Linked DNA regions of Drosophila melanogaster. The protein of the gene in region 1 purifies or fractionates together with the protein of each later gene. This does not show direct contact. Each region holds a gene or a part of one and is shown on either strand. Other genes may lie near its edges.

Region 1 (6,496 bases):
TTGCGATCTTTGCAATTGAAGTCGAACAAATTAACTCAGGTTTGTATGCGCAAATAATCAACAAATAATTTAAAGTAAATACTATGAGTAAATGCATTTACCATTTCCCATTTATTATTGTTCAATGGACCCATAGATATTTATAAAAAAAAATCCCTTTTACATCGCAAATATTTTTATTACACTATTGTAGTTCCTTCCCCAAATGCTTCCCTAAAAACTTGAGCTTGGAGAGCAAACTCCACCTTGCAAAGAACAACGAATGAAGATTACTCTTTTGTTGTTGAGACCATAAATAAAAACTATCGAAATAATGGAGTGAAAAAATATAAAGTGAAAAATTGTACAATATGACTTGTCGAAAACTCGTTCGTTACATTAACCATTCATGAGTTTACAAATGCATAATTAAATGTTTCTTTCTCTTATACTCGATTAACTTGTTTTATACACACAATAAGAAATAAATATTTTAACAAACATTAATCGTTAACTTTAATAATGACAATGAATGGCTTTTACCCCAAAACTTAAATCGAATTGAACTGAATTGAATGAATAATACAAACAAAAGTTTAAAAAAAAGGTGAAGTTTTCTCTCAAAATTGTTTTGGCTGCCTGGCACTTGCACTTTCTCAGTTGCTGCTTCAATATTTCTGATTTTGTTATATATTTTTTATTTACTTTTTACGTTTACTTTTTATGTACGTAAGTCTGAACCTGAATCGGTGTTCATGGCCAAGTCAAGACTGGAAAGTTTCCACAATTTAGTGTTAGCTTTATTTGTTTGTCACTGCCAGTTAAAACCATTTTAAAGTAACACTCTTCTTGGTTTAATCTTTTTCAGGACCTGGTCAATCGGATCTATAATTATTTCTCAACGCCATAGAAATCAATTATAGCAACTCAACAGCATCATAAAGAAATCGAAACGAAACTGAATATTAATCAGATTGCTTGTTATAGTTATGTAGTTTAAGTACCAGACACTCTGAGGATCGCCACAATCAAATAACTTGGGAACGGGAACAAGTTTTTAGTAAAATTTCTTTACACTAACAAACATCATTGTAACTGAGAATCGAAAGTTTTTATTGTTGAACGCGATTTGGTAGCAGCACTAAAACCATACAAAACAATTCTAACACAACTACGAAGCAAATAGCGAAAGCGAATATATACTAATCCTAAAAGTTAAGATAAAGAATGCAGGTGCAATGAGGTAGCAACGAAACGAAACAAAATCCAAGAAATCGACTATGCTTGATATGTATCCGGATAACACGAAAGCGCACATCAAACACGACTAATAATATATTAAATATTTTTGTTACTTGCGAACAATATTATTTCATTTATGAATATTATCTTTTGTTTGTCATCAATATTTATTATTTTACTTAGTTCGTATGCATACGAACGTTCTGCACATTTATTTGAATATTATTATTTGATACATAAATAAACTATATTTTGTGTTGTACAATTTTATATGCAGTAAACATTTTTAGTAAATAAAGAAGTCAAATCAAAAAACTTGTACTTGTTTGTATACAATATCGATGGAAATAAAACCGACGATTTGGCTCTTGAATACATGGCCCATACAAAAATAAAACACTTGTAGAGGTGCAGAGAAGCCAAGTGTAGCAAAACCTTTTCATACTGTTACGTTTTTGTTTAAATTCGTTACATGAGTATACATACTTCATAACATACAATATTTTCATATTTCATAGTTTGGACTTGCTGATCGATGTGTAACGCCAACTTTAAATTGTTAGCTACTAGCGTTACAATCAACTAACTTTTAACTCTAGATTATATACCGATATTGCATAGTCACTTAATTTGAATAGTTTGAAAAGCTATATGAACATTAAATGCATATGTTAAGTATGTTAATAGTTTACGTATTTACTATGAAAAACCTTCAACAGTAAGTTTTTATAGTTGGCATCGAGATAATTTCCATTTGTACAACTTATCCCATATGAGATCAGCAATATAATATGCTTAACAACTGAATATACAATATTTGTTTAAAAATAGCAACAAAACTCGTAGATACATTTTGTAAAGTTATTGTGTACAATATTGCTTGGCTAGGTAACTTTTATATATTTCTCACATACCATTTAAGTGGCTAGACTGTCCACCTGGACTTCCATCAGCTCTTGCACAATGCGATACTCATGACAGTCGGAGCACAGTAGGCGACCATTCGAACGGTTTGAGCGCTGCGCCTTCTCATGACAGACAATGTGCACTAGTTTGAGATTCTTTAGGGAGAATATTTCTAGAAAGTACTCCAGTACTGAGATATCGACCACTTGCTTCTTATGAATTGAACACTTGGTCTGCGGATGACTCACAAGTTCTTCCACATTTGCAACAAGTGCGGGAAGGATTGTGCGGCACAGTTCGATTTGGTGGTCCAGATTCCAGACCTGAAACAAAATGAGATTCTCACGCGAAGCGTACGGATTAATAGTGTGCTGCTTAGAGCAGCTGTTGCCATTCTCCGAATAGGAGCCCTGGCAATAGAAGTCACCCAAGTCGGAGCACAAGGAAGTGGACCATTCGTCGAGGATGCAGTTTTCCTTGGTGTACTCCCTAATCACCTGCCTCAGTCTCTTGCTGGGTATCCTGCCAGCGTCTGTTTCCTCGTCGCCCAAGTGCTGCTTCAGGAATTCATGCTTTTGCTTGCAATTCCGGTCAAACATCATGGAGAAAAAGTCGCAACCGATGAGCAGGTATCGAAACTTCTCCAGCACAGAGTTTATCACTTGTCGGGCCTTGGCATTTTGGCGGTACAAGGGATTGCGGGTCAGCTCCTCCTTGGCCTTATAGTAGTAGCCTCGCACACGTGTCTGGGCACGTGTGGCCATAGCTTCCTCCTTAGAGTGGAAGCGCTCCTCGCCGCCCGTGAACCACTCCACGTGCTCGGCCTTTAAGCTGAGGTGGGTCTTGCTGTTATCCAGGACGCGTCGCTGCTTTTGGTGTTCATACTCCGTTATCATGCGGCGGAACTTTTCCGGATGCTGTTCGATAAAATCGTAGAAAATGTCAGCCACCTTTAGCAAAGGCGATTGTTGTCGCATCTTCTCAAACTCAAAATCGGCATCTAATAGAAGACAGATTAATTGTGATTAAGTTAAATATTTAAACTGCAGCTCACCTGTTGTAATGACTGCATCCGGGCCAGACACTATGAACAGCGTCTGGGCGGGTAGGCTTTTTAAGTACTCATCGTCGGACACCTCGAAGCCATCAGAAGCCAAATACAAATGTGGCTCGAGAAGCTAAAAGGTAAAAAAAAAACGATTTAATTGTAATGCCCTTGACATGGCCGAATTATAACGAGGCCAGGTCGCCCAATTCCTGGTTCAGGGGCCTTCAGTTTGTTTCACATTTCTCTTTTTTTTTTTTTGCCAGGCAAGGACGTTCCATCAACAGGTGGTTAGCTCTACTATACAGGACATGCGCATTGGCATTTACTAGTGGCATTGAAAGAGAGCCAAACAAACGCGGAAGCCACTGCCAGGGACATGGCCTTGAAAATTACCAGAGCCAGGAACTTTCAGCCCATCTACGTGGGTGGGTGTATATTTCGCGCTTTTACGCAGGAGTTTTTCCTGTTTTTTTTTTCTTACCGGGAACTTGCTTTTTGCCTTGGCTATCAGCATTTCCAGGGAATTGGCTCCGATTCCGTATTTCCTCGTTCGCTCGTTGTCAGTAACCTTGTAGCCACGCATTGGAGCACCTGCTGTTCCCCTGGATTCGGATGAGCTCACATCCTTGAGAACTTCGCCTGTTGGCTGGCTGCTTTTCTTGTTATTCGAGCTGCTGCGTGTTGTCGGTGACATGATTGCATCTCTAATGTAGCTGATCATCGTTCTGGCTCATAATAAAGTCAACTTTGGAATGTAGTCCTCGCAGCAAGTTTCCTTATCCGCGGACAAAGCAAAATAAACTAGCAGAACAAGGCATTTTTCGCGCTTCTCAACACTAGATTCTCATTGAAAGATTCTTTAGTTGTGCTGCAATTTTAGCTAAAAATTGCAAAAAGCTATATAATAATAATTTATTTTTTCCCGTGTTTTGTAATTAACGAAATATTTTTTATATTTTTATTAATCAATTCAAATTGATAAAATTTTCATTTATTCTTAAATTAAATAATGTGTAAATTAATAAAATGAAAATAGCCAAATTAATAAAATACAAGTTGAACGGCGCATTTCCCACCACTATTGCCTTCAGTGTTTTGCAGCACTTATGCATCTAAAAACAGCTGTTCGGGTAATCATTTTTTTTGTTAAAAGTTTCTGTGGAAAAACTATAACAAACGTAGTCTTAGTGTACAATGATCTGGGCTACGGGCTCCGCGTAATCCGCAGCTCACCCGGAAAGGCGTTTTACGATGAATCTACGGCCGCGATGCCGCAAGTGGCTGCCCCTAGCCACCCAGCAACTTCGACTGCGGAACCTTAACAGAATTCAGGGATTCAATATTGAGTCCTGGCCGCATGAGAAGTCGCTGGAGCTAGATGATCCGGATGATGTGCTCCTCTACTACACACTACACACGGACAAGGCTAGCGAAGCGTTCTACACCAGCGAAAAGCTGCCGCAGCGTCACCAACAGCAAAAGTGGGCGGAGATTTGTACGGACGACGAGGCCTGGCGGAAAACCAATGCGCAGTGTGTCTGTGTCAAGGTGTGGAAGCACTATTCGGCGGAAAGAAGAGATGGCCAACCGCCTGAGGTTGAGCAAAGACATAAGGATGTTTTCGGGTAAATAGGAGACTTTGCTTGCAAATAGAACTCTGCTATCATCAACCAACTTACTTCCAGAAGATCCCAGTTAACGCCCAGCAGGCTGCCACGCCCTCCTGAACTACTGTTCAGCTGGGGCGTCTACTTCTCCGGCCTTATACCTCTGTCTCCCCTCACATTGTCCCAGTGCGGACGAAATTGCTTGGTCTTTCAATTGAATGGCGAGCAATTTGCCTCCCCGTCGATGATAAGCGAGCAGGCCTTGCAGTCGCAGCTGCATTTGCACTACCAAAAGTATGCGGAGGAAGAGAAACTAGAAGAGCCGCAGGATGAGGGCATAAACTCGCCGGCCGTTAGTCGTAGTTCGAGTCCCGTGCTGCGAATGAGTACGATGCGCTATGCACAGCTGAAGTGCCAACGGCAGGAGATTCGGCGAAGCAACAACCTCGAAAAGCTTCTCACGTTGCAACGTCTGCAACGCTTGCATCAGCAGAAGCGGCGTCAAATGGCCGAGGTTTGCCGAGAAATAGCCCGCCTCAGTGTACACTGTGTGACCAGGAACGAGCTGCGCTTGAAGCCCCGCACGACATCGCTGTCCGGCGACTACTCCGCCCATCAGTACCATTCCATGGGCCGCGCCCTGAGCGTGTTGCTCGCCGAGCAGCAGCAGATCGCGCCCCTCACGCTTTATAATGCCCAGCAGCTAACTAGAAGGATAGAAGCGCTAAGCAGTCAACAGCGGCTACTTAAAGCGGAGCGGGAAACGTTTCGCCAACGAAACGAGCGCACCCGTCAACTTCTGAAGGAGATGAGAGAACAGCGGGAGGCACAGCAATGGGAGCTCCACAGCCAGCGACATCGACTGGAAAAAGAACGTCTGGAGCTACGAACCCTGGCACCTCAACATCTGGAACAGCGCGATCAAAAAAGACAAATAGAACGGCAGGTGGGGCTGCGGAATCAAATAACATTAAACAAGTATATTAATAAACCTTTTCACCCTTTTAAGGTGGAGCGCCGAATGTCCACACTGGTGTTGGAGCTACAGGAGATCTATAACATCCAGAATGTGGGCGGTCGGCAATTTAGTATCTGCGGCATCGCCTTCCCCCACATGGAGCAATACACGAGCGAGTCACGTCAGGCGGCAAACGCACAGCTTCTGGATAACGTCTCGCCGCTGGCAGTGAGTGCGGCACTGGGTTATGTTGCCCATTTGGTGCAGATGTTAGCCATCATTATGGATCGACCTCTGAGGAACCGTATTCTGTACGAGCCATCGAAAGCAAGGATAGTGGACGATATCAAAGAGTTGACGTACACAACAAGAGAGTAAGCACACAGACTAAATATTACCTTTTGGTATCTTATTGTTCCATCTTAGATTTCCTCTGTATACACGCTCCATTTTGCCGTCGCAGCAAACAAAGTATGCCATCTACCTTTTGCGCCAGAATGTTTCGCAGCTGTGCTTCGACATCACGGGCCAGTGCGATCTGCGAAACACTTTTGGCAATCTGCTGGAGCTATTCAGCACTCTTCGCTACATCGAACGAACGCAAAGGGATGAGGTCGACGAACGGGATGGAACTGCAGTTGGAGCTGGCTGTGGAGAAGCACGCTTGGCAAATGGGTTGACGGCGCCGCACCTGTCGCAATCGCACTCTTCGGTCGACATGAATCATGTGCCACTGCCGACTGGCGTCAATGCGGT
Region 2 (6,250 bases), on another chromosome or scaffold:
CAACCCCCACAAATTGCCGTAATGTGCTGTGCCTGCGATGCCCATTGTCCATCTCATGTTGCCTTCACTCGCTGCAAGGAGTCTATCGGAGACATTTCCCCACTAATTGCTCGTAATTGCCACCGAAATGTCATAGCAACACATTGCTTTAGGCACTCTATATGCCTTTCTACAAAAACCTAGAATTTTAAGGTTTAGTTTTTTAAGGCTTTTGTTAACACATCTTGATTTTTAAATTACACATTCCTTTTTTCTCAGTGTTCTGCTTTGTTTTGAGGAAATCGTTAGCATCGCTCATTCATTCGAGCTCCATGGGCCATGATGAGTTCTCACTGGTTTCAAACTCGTCGCATTCCACACTTACACGTACTTATTAGCTAACTTGAGTCGGAAGACAGAGGAGCGCTTAGTTGCACGCTTGTCTGGACACGAAGAATGCCCGTTTATTTGGCTTAATGCGCAACGTTGCGTATACGCGATGTCTCAGTCACAGTACGACATATTCTGTTTGCTCTTCGTTTCTATTTGTTTATTTGTTTGCCTATCTCCTTGCTGATGTTGTTCCATGCGGCATGTCTGCTAATTTAATATCCGACCCAACTTTCATGTAAACCTCTCCATAACGAATGGATCAGGCTTTATTTTTAAACCATTTGCATTTGCAGACACCCACCGAAAGGTGATGCCCGTAGGTGGACTGTGGACCCCAAATGACTGTGACATGAAAAACACATTTGCGCGTTACGCCAGTGGGGAAAATGAAAGCTGGATTTTTCCTCGCCCAATGAGATTTGTTTTACAGGAATCTAATTTTCTGCCAGGACCAGAAGTGTTCTGGGCAACCACAGAATTTCCTTAAGCAAAATATTAACTAAAACTGCATGCGAAGTAAAATAATTTGGTACGCAGCCAACTGAAGTCTCTAGTAGGCACTGTTGCCGACTTAGCTCTTTTCCAATCAAATTTTCCTTTATTTCATATATTTTGATTTAGTTTCTGAACTGAATTCCAGCTGTTTTTTAAGGTATTCATATTTTCAAGTCAAAAATGTCTTTCTGTGTGGCAGCACTGCTATGAGTTTTCAGTTCAGCGGTAGATCTAAACCAATTTAACCTTGTGAGTAAACCAAACTGCAAATCAGTCATGGTAACCATCGAATTAATTGAACTATCTGATATTAAGTAGAAGAGATGCAAATTATTTTCATACCGAGAAGAACCTAAGGGCCAATACGTGAACACAGGATATTATTAACCCTACCTCACGCATTCATGTGTTGGCCTCTGACTACCAACCCTTTCCTTAATTTTCACTCTCATTTAGTTGTTTCTGGAATTAGTCAAAGGGATTATATCTCCAGGATTATATCATCCAGTGTTTTTAATCAGAACCTTGGCAATTTCCCCGAGAGCTCGATAAAGAAGATGCCCGTGTCAGATGGCAGACAAGATGGAGGCTTATTAATTAGCTGGAATGCGCATGAATTACGCATACGTCACGTGGCCCACGCTCACCCATCATCATCATCATCACCGGTCGGTTGCCACTGACAAATGACATCGCGTTTCGGCCACGTCAAGCCGTCAATTAATTGCTTTCGCCTGGCAAATTTACAGCCACTTGATATCTCGTAGACGCCGATCTTTTGGCCAGTTTATATTGTTATGGCCATCGCTCTGATGCCGTTAACACACAATACATCGATTAGGGTGTTCAGCTGGCGTGGCCAAGACACCTACTTATAGTTATCGCCGCCCACACAGACGCCACAAGGCGGCTTAGATGTGGGCGTGGCACTGGAGGCGATTGGCGGAATGGCTGGATGATTGGCCAGCTGGCTGGCCCACAATGATATACGAGACAATTGGGCGCCCGCATCCTGATCCCACTACCCTATGCAACTGAACAGTTTGAACATTTTAATTAAATTTTCATTGTTGACCAGCCACACAGGCAAAAAATTTGCAAGAAGCTAATCTGAGTAGAGGGTGAAATATGGTCTATACTATATTGTATTGATAGTGTTAGTGATTTACTGAGCATGGCTTACTATAAGTGGGTAATTGGATATAGGATCATCAAAATAAGGACATTCAAGTTCAATTAAGTTAAATCATATCAATACTAAACAGAATCGTTTTATTCTTGCAAGTGTCGATGTGTTGTATCTTTCACACACAGTTTTTAGAGTTAAAAGTTTCGTAAATAGGTAAACGGATGCGTAAATTGTTTCGTAAACTTTGCAGAATTGACAGCGACTATTTGTGACCCTAATCATTTCTTTCTGTGCTCCAAATTGGGCAGGGCCACGCAATCCTCACAATCAAATGGAGTTTGCCATGGTGAAGGCAGTGCGGAGTGGGCTGCTGGTAGGGCAAAAGGAAACAGCTCTGTTTTCCCGGATTTTTTCCCGCACCAACTCTTGCAGCGAATTGAAAAGTTGGACGAATGCTTAAAGGGCGAATAAAGCACCGGTAGCAACACTTCAGCAGCAGTGCCAATGTCGATGATGCCACTCAACGCCGAAGGCTTTGAAGTGGCCGTTCCGTCGGGGAACCCTTCACTTTGTTCGTCCTGACCGTCAAACTTTTTCCTCCATTTTCAGTTTAATTTTTTCTATTTTTTTTTTACTATATACCCATCAAGCGTAACAATAGCACCGCAGTAATCACTTAACGAAATGCTGGCCCAGATGACGGGGCGCCAGGTAGCGTGGCTAAATGCCACAAAGGACATGAAGGATGTGCGAGTAGCGAGTGGAATACCCACCTTGAAGGGCTTGCTGTTGTCCAGCTGGGCGAAATCCTCGTCGGCGGTGGTGGGCGAGGGCGTGGGCGTGGCGCTGCTGTGCGGCGATAGGGCCAACTCCAAGGTGATGCTATCCGCCGCATCGTCCAAACCATCGTCGGCATCTAACTCGATGTCCTCGCAGTCCGCGTCCAGTTCGGCCGTCCTTGTCAGAGTCCGCTGCCTGGGCGGCGGAGCCACTATTCTGCTATCAGGATCACACTGTACTCCTGCTGCAGCTGCTGCTCCATCGCTCTCCTTCTTCTGCTCCCTCTCCGGTTCCTGCTCCTCCTCAGCTCCTTGAGGCATTCCAGCCAGCTTTGTCTCATCCGCATTCATTGCTGTCATGTATTTACCTCGTCTCGAGAGTTTGTTCGCCTTGTCTGGACTCCTTGCTGCACTGGTTGAAAAACATGGTCGAAAGAGAAAGAGATTTATGACGAGCAAAACAAATTTAGACGATAATTGAAATATGCTGTATGGCATTCGGGGATGCTTTCAAAGCTGAGCCAAGCATACTAAAACTGCCAGACTTTGTGTTATTGTTATTTCATATACGCGTGTACGTTGTTTGCTTCGACCGGAAAATTTATAACGAAATCGTTGTTTGGCCTTTGTTTTGGCTTTGATTTAAAAAAGTTTTGCAATTGCTGAAATTGCTTGACCTTAAAGCCACATAGAAAACGAAGTTTATAGAGACCAAAAAAAAAAGAAGGAGACCATGGAATGTTATTGCATTACAATTTCACCATCGGCTCTTTAAATACTGTACATTTTTACCAACGACTTAAAAAAAATATCTACAAAATATTATTATTTTTTTAATTTTATATAGTAATGTAATTTGCACTATTTCAATTTTGGTGTCCTGTATTTGATAGTAAAGCTCCATATATGACGATGCAGAAACGTGTTTAGAGTTTTTCAAACGAATATAATTGGCCAACTTTTTTGTTTGGTAAAACTTCATTTAAATTTATAGAGGCAATTATAAGTCTAAAAGAATATAGTTTGCATGTGCTTGCTTGTTGTTTTTTATCATGAAAGCTAAACTAATTATTTTCCATAATTTCCACAAGCCTCTTTTAGACAAAAAGATAGTTGGTTTATATACTCTGAACTCTAGAAGCAACATTTTGTTTCTCATTACCGTGCACTTTAAGTTAAAAACCGAATTCTTCACATCTTCCGGCAACAATTACAATACGCGATTCTGGCTGAGATCGCGAGCCGACTACTCACAGCAGCCAAGTGCAACAAAAGCCGGCCGAACTTGGAATAAATTGCCAGACGTCTGTGCGTGCTGTATTTAAACGTGGCAGGACTCGTCGAGTTTGCCGACAGCCTCGGCCAGCGCAAACACACACGGCGCAAAGTCAGCAGGTCCTGCAAACACACAGCAAAGTCTAACCTTCGCGGAGCTTTGGCCGTGAGAGCAGGACACTCGCAAAGAGAGGCAAAGAGAGAGAGAGAGAGAGAGAGCGAGCGCTCTGTTAAGGCTCCTGTTAGCCAGGACACGCTGGGCGTGCCGGGCCAGAAGCATAGACCCTATGCCGGATAAAGTAAAGTTGGCACAAAAGAACTCTGGCCTGGGATCGGGATTCTATGACCTGGAAGGTGGGAAAAGTTTACTGGAGCAGCTGCAAATAGTTCTACTTAGCCGGGACCACAAGAAGATAAAAACGAATACAAACAGCACAGTGTATTTGCGGGGCGTGATGGCAAATATAAATATTTTAGCCTGAACTTTCAGGCGCTTAAGGGCAAAGTTTAAAAATGCAATAAAAATAAAGTTTGCAATTTCGGCGAAAAACTCTGGCGTCCAGCTGAAAAATGTCACTTCGGCATAATGAGACTGCTGCTGGCTGCATAATTAAAGCATCCCAGAGCTGGGCAAAAGTTTTCAACAAAGGTGCATTGCCTTTGAGGGCGAGACAAAAGCCGAGATTTATTGGCATTTGCATTGGCGGAATATTTAAAATGCATGAGACGCTGTACGTCGATCGAATTTGTTCGCATTGGGAGCAAACAAAGCCACTTAGCTGCATTTATCACAGCACTGGGCTTAAATGGCTGAAATATTGCGCATACGCCGCGTGAGCCAAGGTTAATTTGATTGCGCCCGCTTACGGAAGTTCGGCATTGAACATGGACTGAGCACGTGATTCCAACTGCAGTCACGTGATGGATAACAATATATCTGTGGGCCTGTTATCTCGTTTACGCATTTTGAGCCTGGTCCTTGTCCCAACTACCTGAAGTGCATACTTTAGGCCCAAGCGGATTCGGATTGCTGGGCGAATTTTGCACGCTCATCTGTTTATTCGCCCTGCTGGGCATTCATTTCCGTCCGCCATTTTCCATTTCCCATTTTCCCCCGCCGGCGGGTCAAATAATTTATGGGCCATGGTCCGCTAATTGCGCATTGAAGCGCGGCGCGAACAACTATTCGCATTTCGCATATGCAGCATGCTGGTCCTGCTGCAGGACCTCCATCGCCATCAATTTAAATGCATAGGTGCAAATTGAAATTTATGCGTCTGGTCGCGAAGGTAAATTCCCTTCATCATCAGCTGCCATGTTTAATTGCGATGCACGACCTTGGCCGTCTGGCCAGTTAGATTAATTAACTCACATGTCGTCGGAAAGGTCATGCCGCCGCATGTGGCGATGATAAATGGCCTCTGATCCTGGTCCTTGGATATGTGGCACTTTTCGCCAAAAACTCGTCAGGCGAAAAACACATAAGGCAGTGGTACGGGTAAATGCCAAATATTTGCGCCTGCTGTCAGCAGTCTAAATGAAATTAAATGGAAAAAAATAGCATTTCGATGCGGGGCAAACCAAAAATGTATAAAAGAAAATGGCAAACATTTTAATTAAATTAAAATAAATGTGAAATGGAAAATAATGAGAGAAAAAAAGCACTGGCATCGACCTTGCCGCCATGTAACAAGCAATTACATTTCCCCCCCTTAATGGCATACTTCATTATTTTGTGTATTTCCTGTGTAAGGATACCTACGTGCAACGGTCCTGGCCATAATTGGTTTAATGGCCAGCAAGCCTGTGCGTATTTGCACTATATCGGTTAATGGCTTAATAGCGCGGCTCTACATCAAACATGCAGTACAGTGTACAGTCGAACTGCTGCTCGACCTGCTGACATTCACCCAGTTGATCCGGCACTAGGTTGCCCTTCTCGGCGAGGCAATCGCTGATGCACTGGCTGCCCAATGGATGCGCCATCTCCCCTTGCAGCTCCTTTAAGCTGGCTGCCACATCTGCACCCTGCTGCTGCTGCTGCTGCTGCGGCGGCGGCGAAAGGTCAATCGCCTGTGCAGCCAGCAGCACCAGCAACTGCATCACGATAAACAAAACGGATAATTTCATATTTGTATTTGCCAAACCTGTCTGAATTTTCATTACTGACAGCTTGTTCACTGTCCCAGGGCTTGCTGCA

Evidence for each region. Proteins that work in one complex are often made in the same cells at the same time.
Region 2: the proteins of Drep4 (region 1) and Drep3 fractionate together in Drosophila melanogaster (co-fractionation; 2 studies listed by BioGRID, with this or other methods). This does not show direct contact.

The regions. Positions count from the first base shown.
Region 1 is NT_033779.5:13,282,514-13,289,009, forward strand, and holds Drep4 (DNA fragmentation factor-related protein 4), read right to left. Parts: upstream 3,950-6,496; 5' UTR 3,897-3,949; coding exon 3,657-3,896; exon of another isoform or gene 3,439-3,656; intron 3,313-3,438; exon of another isoform or gene 3,306-3,312; coding exon 3,182-3,305; exon of another isoform or gene 3,128-3,181; coding exon 2,139-3,127; 3' UTR 1,399-2,138; downstream 1-1,398. Other genes in the region: Uvrag (UV-resistance associated gene), read left to right, coding at 4,427-4,800, 4,861-5,728, 5,792-6,114, 6,167-6,496.
Region 2 is NT_033778.4:12,052,906-12,059,155, reverse strand, and holds the start of Drep3 (DNA fragmentation factor-related protein 3), read right to left. Parts: upstream 4,068-6,250; 5' UTR 3,938-4,067; intron 3,188-3,937; exon of another isoform or gene 3,183-3,187; 5' UTR 3,136-3,182; coding exon 2,770-3,135; exon of another isoform or gene 2,609-2,769; intron 1-2,608. Other genes in the region: CG44314 (uncharacterized protein), read right to left, coding at 5,887-6,180.